Astyanax mexicanus: one gene and its partners. The protein of the gene in region 3 binds, or shares a complex with, the protein of the main gene of each other region. Links are inferred from orthologs where the notes say so. Each region holds a gene or a part of one and is shown on either strand. Other genes may lie near its edges. The genes, in order: ropn1l, nme5 and lrrc23.

Region 1 (7,533 bases), on a different chromosome or scaffold from region 3:
CCGGCATGTATTTTTCCCTTATTTTAATTATATTTTAAGAACAGTTTTTAGACCCAAAATCTTATTAGAACTGTAGTAAAACTGTGTCTCGGGCATCAGGCAGGATATTTATAATCATCTGGTGTAATAACTTTATGTAAGACAGAGGTTTTAGAGAAACATCATTTACAGAAACATATAGAAATTTTTACTTAGCACAGAAGGCTTTACCTGTATTTAATTTTTCTCCTGTTCAACCAAGAGTTTACTTATAAAATCATGGAAGGTCTAATTCCTGTATTCAGTTTTACAGAAACCACATTATTATTATTATTAGTATTATTTTAAATGTATGTCTAATTTTCCCCAATTTTCTTCCTATTAAGCTAGAGCCAAATATCCCACATATTCAACTGCTAGTCAGCTGAATATACCCCCACATCAAGGGTGATGCCACAATACAAGGATGGAGAAGACTAGCACATGCCTCCTCTGATACACATGAAGTCAGACTTAGTCTCTTTTAGAACTGCTGTTGATGCAGCATTGTCGAGTAGCATCACAGCTCGCTCAGAGAAAAGCACAGCGACTCGGTTTCGATACATCAGCTCACAGACGCCCTGTGCTGATCGTGTTAGGTTATGACTTTATTCTACGCGCTTATTAAAGTCTTCAGAACACCCCCTTAGTATACACAATGTCCCTTCAGAGGTTCACCTCTTAGTATGTGGTAGATCGATAATATCGATATAAATGCTGGTATTGGTATTGAGCAATACTCGTGTAAAAAGATCGATACTCAAGCTTTTTTTCTTTCCTGTACGCACCAACTGTTGCGCACACAGATTCATCAAAGTCTACTGTCTGTAAGAGTAGCGCTGCACCCCCAAACCCGACTCTGGTCTTTTGTTGTTGCACGTGGCTCAGCGGAGCCAGCCAAACAGCCAACATGTATGGAGAGAGACACCACCTAAGTATTCTTTTTTTTTTTGGATATTTTATTAAATATAATACACTCTGTTTATTTAAGAAAAAATAGAATTGCACTGAAAGTAAAAAAATTACTTATGTTTTTTATTGTTTTTCCTAAGAACAATTCTATTTAAAAAAAAAGAAACAAATAAAGAAAGAACTAGAAAAGATGTCTAGTGAGGTGAGAATTTTTTTTGTATAGTGGTTGCTCCTTTTCTACCTCAAAAATATTTATTTTCCTAATGTTAAGGCAAACTTACTGTGCCACTGTTTCGAAACAAAAATGTTGATTGTGGTAAAGTATTTCGTTGTCATGCACAATGTTTGGCGAAATTTTATCCTAGGTCTTTTGGATCCTTTGAATCTATAAAGTTGAAAATATTAAAAGGAATCGGTATCAATATCGGCAATACTGGCCCTGCATTAACTTGGTATCGGATCGATATCAAAATTCCCAGTATCGCCCACCTCTAGTATGTGGTGCCCAATACTTCTTTTTTCTTTTTTTTAATTCACCATGTCCCTTCAGGGGTTCACTACACTTAGTATGTAGTGCTTACCACTTAACGTAAATAAAATACACCACGTCCCTTTATTGGCTCTGTAGGAGAGTGATCTAAAATAAGGTAGAACAAGGCTGACTGCATTAAGGCACTAAACACAAATAGAAGCTCGTCGTGACGCCACCTGTCAACGACCGATAGACCAGCGGCACAGAAACAACCAGTAAAACTGCCAGAGCTTAGTTAGACAAGTTAGATGGCGAGGCTGTGTTACGTTAGGACTTTATTCTACGCGTTTATTGACGTTTAAAGTCTTCAGTTAGGTTAGCTAGCTAGCTAGCTAATCAGACCGCAAACATTAGCATAGGGTAGCTAAGCTACTCTACCATACACCAAGGTCACTGTTTTAATAAACACCTGTTAAATATCAGGACATGAAATAAGCTGTTCAAAACTGTAATCTAGATACAATTAAAGGACAGATTGACTGTAGACACCGCCTGAACACATATTATACCATTATACACACACTAACAGGCTTCATACAGTTATACAGCTAAGCTAACATAACCCAGTAAACGTTAGCTAAGCTAATCTAGGTGAGCGGCGGAAAGTCTTACAATCAGCTCTTTTCTGAGCGGGTTGTTGAGCTGCATCTGGTACTGCCGCTTCAGCCGGGCTCTGATCGCAGCCCGCTCCTCCTCAGCTCTGCGGTATTCCGGAGAAAGATTGAAATACTCCGCTGGATCCAACGTTTTTGGCCGGGAAGCCAAAGGTGCCTCTTTATAGTCCGCCATGTCTGCAGACGACCAGCGAGCTGACCCGGACTGATTTACCTGCTGCACACTCACACAATATAATACAGCTCTGGAAAAATTAAGAGCACTTCAGTTTCTGAATCAGTTTCTCTGATTTTGCTATTTACAGGTATATATTTGAGTAAAATGAACACTGTTGTTTTACGGACAACATTTCTCCCAAATTCCAAATAAAAATATTAGATAGAGCATTTATTTGCAGAAAATAAGAAATGGCTGAAATAACAAAAAAATGCAGAGCTTTCAGACCTCAGATAATGCAAAGAAAACAAGTTCATAATAATAAAGTTTTACGAGTTCAGAAATCAATATTTGGTGGAATAACCCTGGTTTTTAATCACAGTTTGCATGCATCTTGACATGTTCTCCTCCACCAGTCTTACACGCTTCAACTAAATAATGTTATACTCCTAGTGCAAAAAAACAAGTAGTTTAGCTTAGTTTGATGGCTTGTGATTATCCATTTTCCTCTTGATTATATTCCAGAGGTTTTCAGTTTCTTAAAAAAGAAACCCATCATTTTAAGTGGTCTCTTATTTTTCCAGAGCTGTATTAGAAAACAGGTGAGAAACACTAGAGGGAGCCCGCGAGTAAGACCGTAATGCATGGGGTGAATGGAGCTAAACGGATAAAAACTCAAATTAAAAATAGTTTCCTACTACTCATCCAGGATATTCTTTCATTTAAGAAAGTAAATAAGAATATTTCTCTAACAAAGCAAAGAAATCGCATCTGCATTTTTCTAATCTTCCACATCAAACGATTTTTGGGCAACACGGACACTAGCATTACTGCTACTGTAAGCTGATTGATTGGTGAATAAACTGATGCTGAAGTTACAGCCACATCACTTTTAAAAGGCTTAAACCTAAAGTTTAAAATGTTTAAACCGATATCTTTAGTACAGAAACAGTTGATATTCCTCTGTTTTCAATAAATGAATTAAATGTTCAGTATAAAAAAATCAGTATAGACGCCCTCCGGTGGTCTAACAAACCCAGAGCAGAGACTCCAGGTTTAAGTGTGCAATCTGCTCTCTGGGGATTCTCTGCTCGCATCACCCAGATTCCAATAAAAGTCCGATTATGCTCAGAGTATGCTCTTATCAGTTTTTCTTTTGATAGAAAACATCTTCATAATTAAAAAACATAAAAGTAAAAACCACAACACCAAAATCATATAAAGCAGACTAATACAATAAAATAAATAAATACATCACACAAGTACAGGTGAACAGGTGAGTAAATAACTTGAGCGCGTTCTTCAAACCAGCCACCCTTTGCTCTGATTACTGCTTTGCACACTCTTGGCATTCTCTCAATGAGCTTCAAGAGGTGGTCACTTAAAATGGTTTTCAGGTGTGCCTTATCGTGGTTAATTTGTGGAATTTCTTGATTTATTAATGGGGTTGGGACCATCAGTTGTGTTGTGCAGAAGTCAGGTTACTACACAGCCGTCAGCCCTATTGGAAAACTAGTACAATTCATATTACGGCAAGAACCAATCAGCTAACTAAAGAAAAACGAGTGGCCATCATTCCTGCTTGTAAAATGACTCGACTCGGGATTTTTAGGGAGAGGAAGTCTAATTTAACATATTGGATTAAAAAAACAAAAACACCAAAAAAAAACAAAAAAAAAAAACACATGTGACATGTGCCACATTTATTGTAATAGTGCATGCACATACAATGCGTTGCTTAAAAATTTTAAATAAATAAAAATTTTGCTTTATCTTATTTCTTTTTAAAGGCTGTTTATATACAGGATTTATTTACTTACATTTACTTAGAATGTTCACCATATATGTAATTTGAACTTGGGCATCCGAACATCTCTGGAAAAAAGTGAGACCACTACAAAAAAAAAAAGAGAGATCACTACAAAATGATATAAGTAAAATGAACATTATTGGTTCATTCTATATTTTATTTTATTTTACATCTATGTTATATCTATGTTTTATGTATGTTCTGTACATTATTTGAGGTCTTAAAGCACTGCATCTATTTCATTGCTTTGATCATGTCTCATTTTCTGCAAATAAATGCTCTAAATGAAAAAATGTTCTAATATTTTAAAGTGGTCTCATTTTTCCAGAGCTGTATTTATAGTGTTATACATAATGTTAAATGAGCCCTCTAGGGGGCACTCTAGTCACCCAATAACGTGTTGCTAGGTAACGCGCTATACACAAACAGTGCGCCGCTGGGAAAGCAGGGGGTCTCAGGATGGTGACAGCTAGTATAGCTCACTGTTAGTTTACTAGTTTAGCTTTGTTTTAAAGGATGTTTTATTTCATCTAAATTAATAGTGAACCTCTCTTTTGTCCGCTGAAGGAAGCCCGTGTGTTATTGTGAGTCCGGTGAGTTGTTACAAGGTGTTTATAGAGGATTAATAGAGTTTAAAGAGCTGAGCTTAAGTCTCTCACTGGTCATTTTTATTCTGTTCTTATAGAAAACTTGATTAACCAGGCCGAGTAATTCATCACAGTCAGGCTGAACACTTGATGACTGTTGTTTGCTCTAGATTAAAGGGTAGCTACATTATATTAATAGGCAACAGTTGTAGCTAATTTATGAACCTATATAACGTTAAACTATCCTGTATATCTGTAGCACCAGTCAAAAGTTTGGACACACATTCTCATTTAATGTTTTTCTTTATTTATTTATTTATTTATTTATTTTTTTTACTTTGTAGATTAATATTAAACACATGAGTAAGGGACACAATCATATATAGAATTACATAGTAAACAAAAAAACATTCCAACTGAGATGGTGATTTGAGGTGATTTGGGATGAGCTGGAGCTTCACTGTGTGAATAAAAAGCAGCAACTATTGTTCAGCACCTCCAGGAACTCCTTCAAGACACTGAGAAAACTATTCCAAAAGACTCTCCCTCATGAAGACACTAAGATTAAAATACCAAGAGTGTGCAGATCTGTCCTCAAAGATAAATGTGAATGCTTATATTAATCTAAAGTAACATATTATGATTTGTTTTACCGTTTTTAGTTTTCAGAATAAATCTGCATGTGTTCCTGTATCATTTTATGGTCTACAATATTACAGTTGGAGTGTAAAATAAAAATAAAAAAAGATAATACATTAAATGAGGTGTCCATTATTATTATTATTATTATTATTATTATTATTATTATTATTATTATTATTATTATTATTATTATTATTATTATTATTATATAAAAACTTTAAAACTTATTTATCATTTTCATTCCAATTCACAATTGTATTCTACTTTCTGTTGGTCTATCATTTAAAATTGAAATTGCTTTTTCTTCAGTAAATTAATCTAATTTTCAGTATAAAAAATCAGACGCCCTCCGGTGGTCTAACAAACCCAGAGCAGAGACTCCAGGTTTAAGTGTGCAATCTGCTCTCTGGAGATTCTCTGCTCGCATCACCAAGATTACAATAAAAGTCCGAGTATGCTCAGAGTATGCTCTTATCAGTTTCTTTTTTTATAGAAAACATCTTCATAATAAAAAATAAAGGCATTTTATGGATTATGGATTTTATGGGATGTAGTTTGTAGTCAGCTAAATAAGCAAATAGACAGACATTAAATCAATGATTTACAGTTAAATTACAGTAGATATGTTGTGCTTGTCTGAAATGTAACTTATTCTCTAACATTTTACTTTCCTTTAATCTTTTTTGGGTTTTCACTAGATCACTTCTTAACAGGAGACATGCCTCCTCCAGATACGATGTACTGCTCCCAGCAGATCAACATTCCCCCAGAGCTGCCTGATATCTTGAAACAGTTTACTAAAGCTGCTATTAGAACACAGCCACCTGATGTACTGCAGTGGGCTGCCACGTAAGTTGGTACACTTTGCTAGATTGTGAAAAAACACATTGCATGACATGTACTGTGATTGTATCTTTGTTTTTGTTTGTTGAAATTGTCTCTCCAATTTGGCCAATTTCAGCTCTCGTCTTCAGCCAAGAACAATCATGGGATCAATGCTCTGATAGCTGCGGCGCTTAAAATCTTACAAGTTTTAGCCTGAAACAATTTAGTCATGCCCATTCACCCTGAAGCCTTAAAATGTGTTTCAGCTCGGACTGCTTATTGAATGACACCCAATACAGGGCAACCACTACAGGGCAGTAACAACCACTACAGGGCAGTAACAACCATTACAGGGCAGTAACAACTACTACAGGGCAGTAACAACCAAAAGCATATTCAATGATAAAGGATTAAAGCAACCATATTTAGCATTTTTACCTTAAAAAGAGCTTCAAAATCTGTAAAGCTCCACTGACATGTAAGAGAGAATGTGTCTGTATTCTGGCTACTCCAGGCTCAGTGTGCTGCTCACTGCACTGTGTATCTCTTTTGAAGTGGGCAGGAAAAGTAGAAAAAACTGCAAGAACTGTGCAACCTGAATGATAAGTGTGTAACATCCAGCAATATTAGCCTGCTCAAGTGTGTCTGTTCACATGATTATTTTACTTTTAATAATGGTTCTGTATCACAGAATCCCCAAATTGAATGTAAGCATAAAATGAAGGGTGTCTCAAAGTGTAAATTCCACTTGCCAATTGCAGGGGTAGCCTACAAGCGAAAAAAACAAACAAACAAACAAACAAAAAAAACAATTCTCACATACTGTGGCTTTAAGGGAGGTCATTTTTGGCACATCATCTTTAAAAGGTTATGAGCTATACATTTCAAAAGTTTTGAGGAATAGAGTAGGATTACTAATGTTGAAAAGTTTTCAAAAGACAGCTCATACACAGGTAGAGCACATTAAATATGAGTCACTTACGTCACTAATAAGAGACTTACGTTTGAAATGTAATCCACAGTTATTTAAGTTTTTCTTTTAAAATGCATAATTTCCTCTTAAGATATTTTTCAGCACTTTCAAAAGGTGAAACTCTGCCAGTCAAGGACAGGCTAGAAATGCCAGTAGCAACACAAAAGACAGACACTGGGCTTACTCCAGGCCTGCTCAAGGTCCTTCACAAGCAGGTTCGTGACATAAGCCTAGCTAGCTCTTTTATTAGTGATAAAAATGTTTGGTTATGTAACATTTTGAATGAATATAACTGAACATATTCTGACGCTGTTTTCTTTTTATAATCACAGCTTTCACCAAAAGAACCTGTTATGAAAGAGGAGTTGCTGAAGAAGTGGAAAGGCTTGTGCTTGCCGGTTGAACAGCTCAATACACTCCTTGACCTTGGCAACTTTGATGAACAAATTGACTGGATGGGGTT
Region 2 (8,145 bases), on a different chromosome or scaffold from region 3:
CACAAAAAGTAGTTTTGGGATACATACAATTCTAAATGAATATGTTCCACTGAAAGGAAAATGTAGTCTGTCACTAGGTTTAATCCCTGTTGGGGAAACTCCCCCTATATGTCCAAATGTGTTAAGCCTTTAGCATTTAATCTTAAATTAAGCAAGTTGGAGGAGTTTATTCCTCACTGCTGCAATAACAAACTGTTGTTGGACAAGTGTTGGAACAAGGTTTGATTTATATTCAGCCAGGTGCATTAATTTAAATCAGATACTGATGTTGGCTGGATCCCAAGCTAAGTCAGAGACAATCATTTTGTACCAGCAATATAATTGTGATTGCATAATGCAATTACAATAAAATAGCAATAAAAAATTAAAGCAATGAATAAAAAACAGCATAATCATACAAAAATGTAAGTATAATTTAAATATCCAAACATTCAAATTATACAGGAGTTGGAATGTGTATTTTTAAAAGATAAACTAAATTTTATACATATGAAGCCATACACTCATTCTAAAAAATAAGTGCATTAATTGTTTAACAAGTCAGTAAAGTAATTAGGTCCACAATCCTTTGCTGGGTTGGGCTTTGTATCCTATTTAACCACCAATATAAAATAATTTTACTCATTTCATTTTGCTTAAATAAGCCCTAGAGTTTACATGACTGAAACAGGTCTTTCTTTTTTGTACAGTCTAATATTAAACACAATTTTGTATAGCTGGCATAATTGTCTTATTGAGTTCTACCCCTTGTTCTTCTAGTGGCACCACAACCCGTCGCTTTGTTGGACACACCAAAGATGTTCTGAGTGTAGCGTTCTCTGCCGACAACAGACAGATCGTTTCTGGGTCGAGGGATAAGACCATCAAGTTGTGGAACACCCTGGGAGTGTGCAAATACACCATCCAGGTCAGTGTGTTGATACCTTGGCGCGTGCGTGCACTGCATTGATTGGTTAAAGGCAGAGGCCAAATTCTATCTGTGTCCAGCACAATTATGCCATGTTTATGGTTGTCTTGTCCATATACTCCATATTGTCCATATATTTTGTTCTGAATCTCCTTTATTCTCTCCTACAGGACGAAAGCCACTCAGAATGGGTGTCCTGCGTGCGTTTCTCCCCAAACAGCAGCAACCCCATCATTGTGTCTTGTGGCTGGGACAAGATGGTCAAGGTACGGCTTGATTGCACTCATCCCAACTCAAGACTTAATAGATTCTGCTTTACTGTACCTTACCCGATGATTACAAATCTACATACATTATCTGAGCTCTTGGGCTCTGGCGACAAGTCCTGCAATTATGATGGGTAAAGATTTTTAGCATGAAGATTAATGGTAATGTGTTTTTGTCTATTTGTGGGAGCATATTATACCAATAGTGGTTCGGAGTGCTCAAAATGTATGCATTTGCTTTTTTGACAGGTGTGGAATCTTGCTAACTGTAAGCTAAAGACGAACCACATTGGCCACACAGGATACCTAAATACAGTCACTGTGTCTCCTGATGGTTCTCTCTGTGCCTCTGGAGGAAAGGTATGACTTTGCCTTGCCCTAAAGGTTATCTTTTACTATTGACTATTGCAAGTTTTATTCAGTACAAACATATCAGCAATAAGTATAGAACTGAACCTTTTTTTAAATAACTAACATAGGGAGGCAAAACTATTCATAATGAATATAGCAAATTATGAGATTTGTAAAGTAAAAATGTGAAGTAAATTAAAGGATGGGGAACCAGTGCACAGTTGAAGGCATGTGAAAATGTGCCTGCAATCATTTTGTTTTATTAATTTGCCACTTTTTCAACCACTTCATTATTTTAATAGCCTGAATGTATTTCTGCCTGGCTTCTCAAAGAAAACATCATTGCTTGGTATAAATTAGTTGTGCCTTTTACCTAATTTCAATTGCCAAATAATTGATGCATATGTAATATTTGGGTAAATGTAAAATTGGGTTAAAAAAAAAAATAGCTTACAACTCCGGTGTAAAATGGATTTTGGGGTAGTAAAACATGAAATGAGTACTAACCTTTTTGTTAAATAGCTTACCTCCGCTCTCCTGCAGCTTTCCGAGATCCAGCCAGCACTCTTTACAATGGCCAATTCAGGACATGCACTTGCCCCTGATATCGCTTTTTACGCCATCATCCAGGCTCAGAGTAGCTCCACACAGAGCCCTGACATTTAAAATGTGGCATTAGTAACTTTTAAAAGTGCACAAAAGGCTTATTAAAACCCACTGTTTACAACCTGTAGTGTAGCCTGATCTCTAGGCACCGCCATATCAAAGTAGTCAATCAGTGTAGTGGTGTTGGCTAACGGTGCCAAAAGTAAATTTAACACTGGCGTTCTCCTTTAAGCTTAGTCTGCCTGTGGTAGACATATCACATGGTAAATATTAGAGTATAATAACGCGCTTGCATTAATAAAAGCTGTAGGCTTCCATACGAGGCTCTAATGGGTTCAGCATCTCCAACAAATGGTTGTTTCAGCTGCAGTTCTTAGCTCTAATGTGGTGATGAAACTTTAATGCCATCTGTCTCTCTGTGATGATAAAGAGGCTGTTTCTGAACATTATATTAATTTCTGATTGAGTGTGTGTAAGAATTGTGCCACAGCTCCTCAAATGTGGGTGTTTTGTTCTTGCTTGTGTTGTAGGACGGGCAAGCTATGCTGTGGGATCTGAATGAGGGAAAGCACCTGTACACCCTGGACGGTGGGGACATGATTAACGCCCTGTGCTTCAGCCCTAACCGCTACTGGCTGTGTGCTGCTACAGGCCCTAGCATCAAAATCTGGGTGAGTACTACTCCAGTTCTTTTCATTCTTAACATACCAAGACATAGATCCGTCACAAAATATTTGGTTGATATACTCTCCCAGAAGTAACTGCGATAAACAATATTTATTGCCATTTAAAGACAATTTTAAAGAAATGTAAAGACAATGACACTGATATAATAATAAATAAATAAATAGCCACTTAGTACATGTTGACCCTGTAAAAGCTGATATTGTAATTATCCTGACATTCAACTTTTGGGTGGCCTGTTTTGTGAGACTATAAGATGAGTTCAGTGACGAACCTTTTAATGCCTTCTGCTGTCCTGTGATGATAAAAGAGGCTGTTTCTGAGAACTGTCTAAAAAACAATGTTGTATGCTTTTTTTAGATTTTTTCCAAGACTTCTTAATATCCATAAGGGCAGTACTGACCATATGCATTTTTTTCTCTTGTCACTTCAGGACCTTGAGGGTAAAATTATTGTTGATGAGCTGAGACAGGAGGTCATCAGCACAAACAGCAAGGCCGAGCCCCCTCAATGCACTGCTTTGGCCTGGTCTGCTGATGGACAAGTAAGCTTAACCTATTATTCTTTTATAAAAATGCATATTTAGGTTTTTTGGGTAATAAACACTAAAAGGGCCTTACCGGACAAACCCCTGTGATTATCAAACCATATACTATCTGAAACCGCATGGTGACAGTCCTGCAATTATGAGGGGTTTGGGTTAAATTAGGCCCATCCACATATGTCTGGATATTTTTTTTTACCTCTTTATATATTTCCATTATGTATAAATAAAGCCTTAATATTTCCTTTTTTTGTTCATTAAAACAGCTGGTTTAAATTGCTGTTTTTCATTCTCTTCACAGACTCTCTTTGCTGGCTACACTGACAACCTGATCAGAGTGTGGCAGGTTACCATTGGAACTCGATAGGCTTTTTGTAATGTTTACAATTAAATAAATATATCACAGTTCTTTCAGTCATTGTCTTTCTTTTTCTACACTGCATGTAACTGACTGGGATGCCATTTCAGTTTATCTATCCAGGTATATTTACAGTGTTGTTTCAAAGCTGACATTTTACATTTAAGGTATTTTAGCAAACTCTTAGCCAGAGTGACTTACAGAAGTGATTTGTTTACTTATTATTACCTGGTTTGTAAAGACTACTTTCAGAATGTAAAAAATGTAAAGCTTTGATAATGTTTAAATGACTACGAGAAAATGATTAGTTTAGGAACTCTTGAAAAAGATGATACAAAGAGATACCAGTAGGTCCTGAAATATTTGGAAAGTGACACAATCCTAGTGGTTTAGGCTCTGCCTGCCACTACACCGGATTTGAAATTAAACTACTGATTTCACTGACTTTCAGCTATAATTCATAAGGCTGAATTTATGAAGTACAACTTCTTTTTTTTTTTTTCCTTCTTTTTTTTAAATAAACATCTATTAAAGCTCATAAAAAATGAGCTGATCCTTTTCAGGCATACAATAAATGTCAACTCTTTGAAAGGTTGGCTGAATAAATAATTAAAGGATTTGTCTGTCAATACTGGTATTACTCGGTGTGCATTCCTAAATAAAGTTAGTATATGAATAAATAGTTTGTGAGCAAAACGTATTTGCATCTTACCAGTTGATTACACAGTATTCCTGTTTTTAATGTACTTTTGCACAGTTATTAACATTGTCCTGCCAAATATTTATAGGTTATAAAGGTAGACAAAAGGCATGTGTAATTGGTAATTATATTTTTAATTTGTTTATTTTTAATAATAAACGGTCTTTAAATGATTGGAGTATATTGGGAAGAGTTATATGTGCATTTAGTTTTAAAAATGGAATAAAATCACTAGTTAAAACTAACTGCTGCTCCTGTGTTGGGGTTAGCATTGTGCAAACCAACAACATTAAAGGCCCTTATTTTTTTTAAATAAACGTTTAGAACGTTTTTATTATACTGACGCTGAACGTGGTTAAATGTTGTATGATAATTATTAGTAAATATTACATTTTATATATATTTTTCTTTTTTCAGTTTAAAGGCGTTTAAGGCGGTCACGTGCATGTGGTAACCAAGCAACCACACAGCAACAGTCCTCTGGCGCTAGTTAGCTGAGCATAGCGTAGCTTAGCTTTTAATACTGAGACTTTATTTCAATATTAACGATTTATTGTGATATAAAAAGTAACGGCGTCTAGAAAACAGTTAAATGGTGGTTTTATATCTGGACTGAAGTTTTGTTTGGTTTGAACTGGATGTTTTCGCTGTAGTTTAAAGTGTAGCAGTGAGCTGTATTAGGTTAGCTGGCGTAGTTTATTGTAAAAGCTGAGTGAGTTATGGCAGACGAGCGGAGTTTACCTCAGAAGCGCCTTTTCCTGGAGAGAACTCTGGCTCTGATTAAACCGGACTCTGTAGATAAAGCAGAAGAAATCGAGAACATAATTCTACAGTCCGGCTTCACGATTTTACAGGTATTAAACTTTACATAACCTAGCCTTAGTAACGTTAACCAGTTAACTGAACAAACTAATAGTTACGAAATTAAGCCTAGTCTGAATAAAGATAGATAACCTAATATTTCAGTACAAACTCAACATTCACAATATGTAGTCCAAGATAAAATAAAATAATATCGCAGTATTTTATGGCATTTTCACGATATCACTCTTGGTGATATGACAAAACACTGAATTTAAACATTCAAGAACCCACAAAAAGAAAATAAAAATTATATTATAGCATACGATATGATTCATAAAATTCAAGAATATTAGATTTGTAACAGAAGTCAGTGATCCAGAATGTCATGATACTAATAATGCACTCCATATATCTCCATATATCCAGGACTGAAGTAAAATGAATGATGCTAGACAGATACAGCTCTGAAAAAAAGAGATCACTTAAAAGTTTCTTTGATTTTACCAAATTTTAAACCTCTGGAAAATAATCTAGAAGAAGATTACATCAAACCAAGCTGGACATGCCGAGATACATGAAAACTGTGATTAATAACCAGGGTTGTTCCACCAAATGCTGATTTCTGATCTCTTAAAACTTAATAAATATGAACTTGTTTTATTTGCATTATTTGAGGTCTGAAAGCTCTTCATTTCTTTTGTTATTTCAACCATTTCTCATTTTCTGCAAATAAATGACAATGTTTTTATTTGGAATTTGGGAGAAATTTTGTCCGTAGTTTATAGAAGAAAATAACAATGTTCATTTTACTCAAACATCTACCCATAAATAGCAAAAACAGAGAAACTGGTGCAGAAATTGAAGTGGTCTCTTTTTTTTTCAGAGCTGTATATTATCTAGATCAGAAGTTCTCAGACTGGGGGCCACAATGGGGTGCTAAGGGGCCACAGAAAAAGGGTTAAATATATTCAATACATATTTTTCAGCTATGTTCATTTATAATTATCTGATTGGCCATATCTTTAAAATGTTAAAAATGTAAAACACATAGAAAGTTACATAAAAGTACATAAAATTACATAGAAAGTTTATGTTTTTTTTGCCCTGGGTAGGATGGGTGTTGGGGGAGCAGTGACACCATCCACAATGGGCAAATCCAACTAAAAAGTTAATAGAACTACAGATCTACACAAGTCACGTGTTACCACTGATATCTATGGAATCTTTACTAGTTAAAACTGTACCTTCTTAAATGATAAAGTAATGTTAATGTAATAATGTATAAATAATAAATTATAATAAATAAAATGTTTACATATATATATAAATTGAGAAAGGTTGATATTTGGTTTTATGTAGTTGAAAGGGCACAGTAGGAAAATATGTGGAATTATTCTTAAACTAGAGCTCAGCTGTTCATTATTTTTTTATGTTATAAAACAGAAAAAGAGGCTTCAGTTAAGTCCGGAGCAGTGCAGCGATTTCTATGCTGAGCACTACGGAAAGCTGTTTTTTCCCAGTCTGACAGCTTTCATGAGCTCTGGCCCAGTCATCGCCCTCGCACTGGCCAGGCACCAGGCCATTTCCACCTGGAAAGACTTGATGGGACCAGCCAACAGTTCCAAAGCCAAAGATACACACCCTGACTGGTAATTAAATGTGATTGATAATGTGTTCAGATTCAAGCACTACTGGATTATTTAAAACAGCATGCAAAAAAAAAAAGTTTGCATATTTATAATTATTATTATCATTACTAGTAGCAGTAGTAATAACATGGATGTCCATGGCTAATATTACTGTAATTATCAATTGCACACCTTATCATTTAAATTTCACTACAAAAAGAAATACGTTAGATAAAATCCTAATCCCTTAAAATATAGCACTAAGCAACACAAAAATGTACTATAAGGAATTCAAAAGAGTAAAAATAGGGCATTGCATGACATGCCGGTATGCCCCATATATCCCATAGGGATTCATTCCTCTCTTTTAATTTAATACAATAGTATTTATTAGATTTAAATCCTTATTGTCTGACACAGACCTAAAAATTAGGATACACCGCAGTTGGATAGATAGGCTGACTAACTGACGAGCTGACTTTCTTTTTTTCTTTATTAATCCCAGTGGGGTTAATAGAGTAATATCATTTGTATTGTATGTATAGAGAAAGTTTGGTCAGTAACCTATAAACATGATGGCAGGTAAAGTGCCTATGCAAGTGTCTTATAATGCATTTTAAATCAAATAAGGTTTATTGTCTCATCACGTAAGTACAGATGAAAAGTTGAGTAAAACACATGGTCCCACATAGTTTGCAGAAAGAACAGTGAGGTTCGTATGGTATATAATCTTACTACAGGTTAGGTGCCCTGTGATGGTTTGGACAGAACAGTGTCCTACTCTGCTCAGTGGCTTGAGTGGGTGGGTTAAATAATTTATGATCCTTGTACATCCCCCCTATCCCCCCTATCCCCCCCCATCCCCCCCCCCCCCCCCCCCGGCTAGCAATCAAAGTAGATATACAGAGTTCTCAGCCACTGGCCCAAAACAATAACCCCATGGAGGTTTTTAACCCCATCAAATTTGAAAGGTCAAACCACTGACCCCCCCCCCCCCCACCATTCACATCTTTACCCAGCCATCTCAGTCTGCAAACGACTTGACCCATCAACAGAGTACTTAAGAAAGATTGAAAATGACCCAGATTTTCATGCCGCTCAGAAACACTGTCCTCTCAAAGTTTGTCCTTACAAACTGTTTTATAGTCTTTTATAGTGTAATTGCACTTCAAATGGTTCTTTAAACTAACTTATAAGACAGTGGTTCTCAAACCGTTGTAGGTAAGGCACCCCAAGGTAACCAGATAATCACAGAAAATGTGCAGCCAGCACTAAACTGGTAACTTCGTACAGTATA
Region 3 (8,514 bases):
TTGAACCAATTACAGGAAGTTGAGTAAGGCTACCGTCACCAATTAAACAACATAAGAAGAAAAATAACCAATGTTGTGCCAGAATCCTTTTGTGTTAATATGCGTCATGCATGAGTACCATTGTGCTTGAGACTCCAAAACTAACCAGATAAAATGTATACAATGTGTACTTGATTCAGAATTTGGTGCTTTTAGGGAAAGAATGTCTGAGACATTTTATTATCTAATTATGTACCTGATATTGAGATATTGCAGAGATTTCATACTTGGACTCAGACCATCTAGTGTTTCTAGCTGGTTGCCTCTGAGGTGAAGAGTTGTTAGGCGCTCCAGTTTCTCCAAACCTTCCAACTGTTTAATTTTGTTCTGGGCCTAGACAATCAGAGTAAGAATTGTGTAATGTGTAATGTTTCATCTTGTTATTGCTTTTTAATCCACCACAAACCAAAAAATGCCAAGATACCAAGTAAAGATTACGCAAGTTGGGGAGGTAAATGCCATCTGTAGTTTCTAAACTGTTCCCTCTCAGCTCCAGTGTCACCAGATTGGTCAGCCTGTGATATTCAAGGCCAGACACCCTCTGAATGCCATTACCTGAAAAACCGAAGCATTGTGAATATTGCTCAATTAGTGATAAAATATAGCTCATTGTAAGTGTTGCTCAATGAACTTCAAAACAAAATCAACAATGAATTGTCTAAAGATGGCACTAACCAGTAAGATTAAGGCTTTCCAGAGCAGGCCCACCGAGCCCCTCTGTATCACCCAGACGATTGGCTGCTAAGCTAAGCCACTGCAGGTATGCGAGCTGACCCAGCGGCTGATCTCTGAACCCTGGAAGTTGATTGCCATCGGCCTTTAGCCAAAGCAGCTGTGTTAAGGCAGCCAGTGGAGAAAAGTCTGTGAGGAAATTGGAGGAGATGTCCAAGAAACGCAGATGGACAAAGGAGCTCAGCAAGGCAATATCCGTTAGACTCCTTGGTTAAGACAGAAATAAAAAAACACTCATTCTTCATTTTTCTAAAAAAGTATTCATCTCACGTTCTGTTCAATTTATGCTCAGTTATTCCTCAAAAAGACTACCTTTCTTTTAGGTCAGCTTTGACAAATGCATGGGCCAGTCCGTTTCCAGTGCGGCACAGCAAAGACAGGCTCTGGGCCATCATGTCCTGTGTCAGAGGACAGGACTCAATCTGGAAAAAGGAAACCAGAAAAACAAAGAAAAGCTAAATTAATTCATGTACTTGCCTAGGTGCTACACATGTTACTGGAGGCTTCCCCTAAGGATAGACCAGAGAAGCTATCCAGGTTTTCCACTCCTGCTGCGGAAGTGAACCAATAAATCAATGCTAAAGTTGATTTCATATTAATCAACTACCTATGTATTGGACTCAGAGGCCCAGATTCTCAACAGCATTTCTTAGAACACATACAACAAATACAAAGAAGAATTTTAAACACTAAAAAGTGAGATGTACAGACACTAGTGAGACACCTATCTGCAATAGCTGATACAGATATTAGTTTTACCCTGTTCCTATCTGTTTGTTATCTGACTTTAGTTTAAAGTGACGAGACAAGTATTTCAGAAAACTCACAGATAGTAAAAGGGTGATAGGATTAAAATAACATTATTGACAGCTCTTTATGCTATTTTCTTTCTTATCTCTTATCAGTATTTTGAAACAATCTCATCAAGCATGGAGGAGTTTAAAAATAAGAGTATGTTACTACTATATAAAAGCCAGGATGTGAGAGAAGCTGATGAAGAATGACAGGGCTAAAAGAACATGTCTGATCATGTAGCGGTCTATAGTCTGTGTGTTTGATTAAGCTTGCAGAACCTGTATTCTGTTTAAGATACCTTTGGTTAATCTGTTTCTATTGTATTGATGTCATTGGCATGTACTAACAGTACTATATAGAGACATGTCTAGTGTCTGCTAAAGAACAGATTCTCATCAACAGGAATTCAGGAAAAGGAGAATATTTTCCAGTGTCTGACAGATCTTGAGATAGGGTTTAGATTAGGATGAATTAGTCATGATGGTCATTTTTGCATTGGGTGCTAGCTACCTGTTTTAAGGTTAATCCACTTAGTTTAGGCATTCTGTTGCATGTTTGTCAATCTTTTTAGACAATATATTTGGCATAAATTTATAAAATAATGCAATTTTAAGTGTCCCGGGATAAATGATTAAACACCATCATTGTGTTACGCGGTTACCTGATCCCGTTCAGTAGCTTCTTCCTCTTGAGCCTCTTCCTCCTTCTGCCCCTCTTCGTCAGATTCGCCGTGTAACAGCTCGTCCTCGTCAGTTAATGACATAGTTTTAGGTTTATATAAATTAAGGTTTTAGGGAGAAGCAACTTAACTTGAGGTTAGCTAACCTACCTAGTTTACTAATTAACAGTAGCCCGATAAAATACTCACTCTGGGGTAATATGAACTACTTTTTGCCAGCAGACATTATGTCCAATTTTATTTTATTCGTTATTCTTCTGTTTTCTGATTGGCGTTTTATTTACTGCAGTTAACTAGAATAACGTTCAGCTTACCGCTCCTAAAGTGTACAGTCGTTACCAGGCAACAGGAAGACCCTCCCCTGGGCACGCTCCACTAAAGACCGGTCCTTCCCTGAGCCCTACACCCTAAAAAAAGCTAAAACCACTAGAAAAAAGCAAAAAAGGGGGAAAAAGGAAACAACTATTACAACAAATTAGACTAGATTGCTGTTACTAAAGCCAAATCAGCCTGTTAGAAAAAATGAAGAGAGTAATTTAAAAGAGTTAGCAGATGCCCTGAGAAATCCATAACAGAGATTAGTGTTAAGTTATTTATATCAAACCAAATAATGGAGAATGCAACTGTGATGCAATTTTATTACCGTCTGATCCGATGATAAGGTGTCTGATATAACACACTTACCCAGCCCTCTTGAATTCCATAGATAGTCCGAAATCACATTAAAACAATCTTGTTTGGTAAATGGGGGGTCCATGACTGTAAAATAGTCTTTGTGTGAAACATTTAAAACACAACAATGGCGATATAAGCCATGAAACATAGTAAGCCTTTACTTGCCCAGTGCGTAATTACGCATCTAGTGCACTTTTACGTATTTTGTGCCTAATAACGCATCTAGTGCACTTTTACGTATTTTGTGCGTAATTACGCATCTCTTGCGCTTTTACGCATTTGGTGCGTAATTACGCATCTCGTGAGCTTTTACGCATTTGGTGCGTAATTACGCATCTCGTGCGCTTTTAAGCACGGTGAGCAGGACAAGGAAACACGTGAAATACACATCCCTTACCCCCAAAACAACCTTAAATTGAAGTCACTTTTATAAATTTAGTTTGTCACCCGTGACACTATTTCAAAACTTAATCTGTAAAAAAGACACTAGTTATTTTTTGCCCAAAATATACATGTTGCACTGTACTGTCTAATATTGTTTGAAATGTTATTTAAATGAGAAATTTGGATGTGTTTAATGACCACTGATCACAGTACTAGTGCTATAAAATATGATGTAGCTGGATTATAAATACAAAAAGCAATTCTTTCCTACAAATTTCTCTAACTTTTAATAAAAGTCAAAGCATTTCTAACATTCTAACATTTCTTATTGCCATCTGATGACATACAGCTGTAAGCAGACACACACAACTTTTGAGGATTTATTTTAGTTGCAAAGACACAAACAAAAACATGCTAAAAAAGCCTCAAACATATAATTAAATATATATATTCAAAATTAAAATAAATACCCAGTGTCAGCTGCACCACAGTGTCAGTTATCAGTAGTAAAACAATTTACACTTCATTTTCATGGTGCAGCTTTAATTATTCTAAAGTGAAAAAATTTAACCGTTTTCCAAAGCATAATTTTTCTGCTTAAATATAAATACATCTTAAAATTAAACACAGTAGAAAATGGGGAGTTTGATTTGTGTAAACAATGCAGTGCATTTAGTTTTCATTAATTCAGCAACTCAATCTAACAGTATATTAGGAAAATACTGCAGCTATATTTCATTAACAAAAATATAACTTTGTGGCCTAAATTTCTATTCAGTGCTAAATGTAGATCAGAATCTGATAAACATTACTCTTTCATTTCCAGACCTCACAGCACTTTCTTTTGGCATGTAAAGCACAATGAAAAATACATTCTAAAGAGTTAAAAAAAAACTCACTTCCAATGTAAAATAAGTAGAAATTCAAGTATGATCCACAAAGGATCCTAACATGTAAAATAGAATTTGATAATCCTACAAAAATGCTTAATACTACTCAATGTTAACTCAAACCCTGAGAACACTGATATTGAGACACTTCTCTGCAGAAACATTCCTCCTGTTTAAAAGCTGCCCACGTTTTATCTACTAAGAGTGTGCACTACTAAAAGTAATGTCAGTACTTTCACACTACTAAAGCTACTTGATGTGCAATTCAACAGATGATTCAGTTATTAAAATGATTGTTGTATTCAGCTGTCTTGAATAGACAGCATCACTGCAGGGGCAAATTAGGCTATGTTCACATGACAAGCCTCACTAACAAGCTTTGATTTGGTTACACTGAACTTAAAAAATCAGACCTCAGCTTGATAATGTAAGAAGGGGATAATAATAATAATTAATTTCAAGTATTAAATCCTGCAGAATGGATGTTCCTGCCTGTTCTCTTGTACTGTCTGCACATCTGGGAGTCTCAAATAAACTTCATCCTTCCAAAATGAACAAACTTGGGCTGGTTTGAATGATATCACAGTAACATCAGTACTAAATATATGGCGGTAGATAAACTGCTGAATAAAGCAACATACTTATTGTTTTTATCAAATATAAAAAAGCTAAATCTCACCCTATGTACTTTTTAGCTTATCAAGAGTTCAAGTATTGAGATATTTTGCACTACTACATTAGAGATAACTTATTATTACTATGGAACCATCCTTCTTCTTCGTCTTGCCCTTACCTAGTCTCCTGTCCATCCTCATATTCCCAATTTGGCATTATAGCGCTAAACACATTTGTAAAACTTTACTTAAATGCTATTCATACCACTTCAGATGTACACACAACAGAGCTCCAGTCTGAGCTGCTGGGACCAGAGATCCAAAGATTATCTGTTAAAAATGCTCCAAAAAGAATCAGAAATCAATATTTGGTTCATATAGATATTCAAGTTAACGGGATGCATGAGTAATGAAAAAGTTGGTCATTTTATCATGGATGTGATCACATGACCACAAGCATGTTTCCTTCTTTATCTTTTTTTCCCAGGCAATCATCCTACAGATTGACATGTGAAACCTAGTTCAATCCCTGCTGAAGATTCCTTTCGTAGTTCTCCATGCAGATGTGTATGCGCTGGATGAAGTAGCTGGGGTCAGAAATGGCTCTGAAGAGGTCATTTTGTACCAAACACAGATCATACAGTTCTGAAGTGGAGGCCGTGCGGGTCTGTGAACCCTCTGGATCCAAAAAAACCTAAATAAGAGGAATACAAGCACAGGTGACTCTCTGATTTAAGCTTAGGTTTATAAGGAGAAAATGACAGTCTTTTTTTTTTTTTACACACCTTAGGATGTACAATAGTGTCTTCATCGTTTTGCCGGATGTTGTCATCGATAAAAATATGCTGAACTGCAGAGTCAAAGGGGTCAATCCACAGTGGTTTCCCTCCCAAAATGGAGTACGTATTTTGTGCCCACCTATTGGGAACAGAGTTCATTATGACTGGCAATTTTTTCACTGTCAATATGAAAAACTGCTTGATTCATATATCAACAAGTGAAAAACTAATCTAAGATCTGAGATTTTCATGACATGTTTGTATTAACAAGAGAACCAGGCTGTTTAACATTTTTGCCCCACTCCCCTAAAACCAAAACAAGTTTTACCTTTAACCCAAATCAAGCCATCTAATCAATACTTTTTACGTCTACATTTACATAGCTACAAAGCTAATGCAGAACAAATTGAGCTCTAGACCCCATTTATTAACTCTTATTAAAATCCATTTATTAAAATCTCCATTGAAAATGCTGACTAGGCTTAATTCATCTCTGGGAAACTTCCCCCAAATCAGCCTGAGGTATAAGCTTCTACCACTATGTCAGCATTATTAGCCTTGTAGCTTCAGTGACTCAAAATTGTCTTGACTGAGGGGAGATTTAGGAAAACTTGATTGTTTACTGTTGTTAACTGTCACTTAAGAAAAGGAACAACTACAACAAGGCTGTCTCTCAATACTTTTGGCTGGTTACTCACCAGTCAAAATGGTCCTGAAAGCCACTCAGCCCCTGTGAAGAACTCATGAACTGATACAGGCTCCTCTCCCCGTCTCGTGCAGACAAACGCTCCTCTCCATAAGTCAGAACTGCACCTTTATTGCTGCACCTGATCCGGCCTGCTGTTACATTCACACTTAACTACAAGGGAAGAATGTTACGTTTTATTCTTTGGATGCCTTTGGACATACAGAGTTACTAATTTGAATACAGAGAGTGTAATGATAATAGTGATATTTGGTTTAAAAGGAGAGGGACAATTCAGATAAAAAGAATGTATAATTACATAATGATTATATCATAATTATATAGCTTTTTAAATATCAATTATAGTCAAAGATTAACAAGCCACCGCAATCTTTAGTCATATACATGTCTAACCTTAAATTATCAGCAGCTGGAACACAAACAACAAATATATACTAAATGGAAATAATGAAGAAAATAAATGTATCCACTATCCAAATTATAATACAAAAGGTATAATACAATACCTTTAGAGCTGGCAGGTCAGGGAAGAGTGGATGGGTCCCTTGCTCAAGGGCTCGCTGAACAACCAACAAAACGCGAGGCAGGTCGGTTCCGAATGTGCGGAACACGATAGAAAATTCCAGTCCCTGGGAAGCCAAGTCCTGCAGCAGCTGGAAGAAGGATGGAAGGATCCAGTGATAGAGCTTCCCATCTTCTCCTTTAATAGAGAGCTCCTTGTCTGGCTGCAGGTGGGAAGGCCACTGCAAGAGTTCAAGATGCTCCTCAAGGACTTTTCGGAAACGCTTGCCCGGCCCAGAGGTAAAGCCCGGTACTCTACCAAAGTGAGAGTAGTAAGTCACAGCACCTTCACAGGGTGGAAGAAGTGTTGGAGTCTCGCACATCCACTCCCATCTTCCTGTAAAGGAAATTATGACAAAGTCATAAATACAAAAGTAACAATTTAGAGTAAGAGACATTTTGTGTGTCTTAGTTTTAAAGACACCTATTTAACCAAACACATTATACATTTGTATTTGTATTGTCAGTAGCTATAAAACACAGATCAACATCAACAAATATTGAGGTAAAATTACAGAGAGCACACATATACTGTTTAATTGGATTTAGTTAAGCACATTGTGCATCATTACATGACATTTAGTGATTTCCTGCTGCAACACACCCCTTCAGCTCTCTGACAGTGCTTGTTAATAAGCTAATTGGTTAAACCAGGTGTTTTTGAGAACAGAGAAATTACTAAAATGCGCAGGGCATGGTGCCTTCAGGACCCTGCTCCAGCCCTCCTCCTAAAAAGCTAGCTCCTGCACCATCCTAACACAGCCCACTCAGCCAATCAAAGACTTTTGTAGACTGGAAAACCACATGCTGAAGCATTAGGAACAAGGAGGGAAGGATCCAGTGGTACAGCTTACATCTAATGCCTTGTCTAGCTGCAGGTGGGAGGGCCCCTGCAGGAGCTCAAGATGATCCTTATGGAGCAGTAAACACACTAAAATGTGCAGGACAATGTGCCTTCAGCTCATGCAATTTGCTAACACAGCGCTTCCAGCCAATCAATGACTTCTGCAGGCTGTAGTTGAATGGATCAGGATTATATTGAAAATGTGAAGAATCACTGAACTAGACTGTAGATTACTGTTGTAAAGATTTTTTTTATTGAGAGCATTGCTAAAGTCAGTTGGGTGATTAGTTAATTCTAGATAAATAAAAAAAAGTTTATTTCCTTACCTTTTGCCATCCGTCCCCACGTGACAGTGGACAGATAATATTCAAGAGCAGCAACTGTGCCTTGTTTTGTAACAGCATCAGAAACCAGGATGGTGTTGTTAAGATCGAAGTGGATAACTATTTTCTTCTTCTTGACTGACGGCAGATTTGATAATGCTACACCTCCAGCTCTCTCAGTTCCAGTGTCTGTTTCACATCCACTATTGGTGTGGTAACCATTTTTGGAGGACTGGGGCATTTCACAAGAATTTTCTGAGCCAGACATGCTTGTGATTACTTTTAGCTTATTTCTTATTAAACTAATCTAGCAAGTTAGTGGTTAACCAATTTGTAAATATTGTATTTTCACTCTAGATTTTGGTTAAACTGACGACAAGTTTATCCAGTGTTTAAATAGCTAGAATTAGCTTAGATATTTAGCTAGAATAATGTTAAATAATGCTAAATAAAATTAGCTAGGAATTAACTAGCGAGACTGAGGTAGGGTAAC

The links.
Region 1: lrrc23 (region 3) and ropn1l share a complex: the UniProt entries of both Homo sapiens proteins name them as parts of the axonemal radial spoke complex. The link is inferred for Astyanax mexicanus from reciprocal best matches to the Homo sapiens genes LRRC23 and ROPN1L.
Region 2: lrrc23 (region 3) and nme5 share a complex: the UniProt entries of both Homo sapiens proteins name them as parts of the axonemal radial spoke complex. The link is inferred for Astyanax mexicanus from reciprocal best matches to the Homo sapiens genes LRRC23 and NME5.

The regions. Positions count from the first base shown.
Region 1 is NC_064408.1:99,302,915-99,310,447, reverse strand, and holds the start of ropn1l (ropporin-1-like protein), read left to right. Parts: upstream 1-4,462; 5' UTR 4,463-4,636; intron 4,637-4,728; 5' UTR 4,729-4,780; coding exon 4,781-4,808; intron 4,809-5,970; coding exon 5,971-6,121; intron 6,122-7,161; coding exon 7,162-7,285; intron 7,286-7,402; coding exon 7,403-7,533. Other genes in the region: ndufb4 (NADH dehydrogenase [ubiquinone] 1 beta subcomplex subunit 4), read right to left, coding at 2,075-2,251. UniProt on the Homo sapiens protein: Functions as part of axonemal radial spoke complexes that play an important part in the motility of sperm and cilia. Important for male fertility.
Region 2 is NC_064417.1:28,157,375-28,165,519, reverse strand, and holds the start of nme5 (nucleoside diphosphate kinase homolog 5), read left to right. Parts: upstream 1-4,868; 5' UTR 4,869-5,135; coding exon 5,136-5,270; intron 5,271-6,663; coding exon 6,664-6,869; intron 6,870-8,145. Other genes in the region: rack1 (guanine nucleotide-binding protein subunit beta-2-like 1), read left to right, coding at 760-907, 1,078-1,173, 1,423-1,533, 2,661-2,801, 3,248-3,358, 3,660-3,725. UniProt on the Homo sapiens protein: Functions as part of axonemal radial spoke complexes that play an important part in the motility of sperm and cilia. Does not seem to have nucleoside diphosphate kinase (NDPK) activity.
Region 3 is NC_064420.1:34,903,096-34,911,609, forward strand, and holds the start of lrrc23 (leucine-rich repeat-containing protein 23), read right to left. Parts: upstream 3,062-8,514; 5' UTR 2,930-3,061; intron 2,673-2,929; exon of another isoform or gene 2,672-2,672; 5' UTR 2,330-2,671; coding exon 2,228-2,329; intron 1,194-2,227; coding exon 1,084-1,193; intron 978-1,083; coding exon 715-977; intron 595-714; coding exon 464-594; intron 373-463; coding exon 236-372; intron 1-235. Other genes in the region: uncharacterized protein si:dkey-32e6.3, read right to left, coding at 5,326-5,502, 5,594-5,726, 6,286-6,446, 6,800-7,191, 8,025-8,289. UniProt on the Homo sapiens protein: Essential for sperm motility and male fertility. Plays an important role in the proper assembly of the third radial spoke (RS3) head and the bridge structure between RS2 and RS3 in the sperm flagella.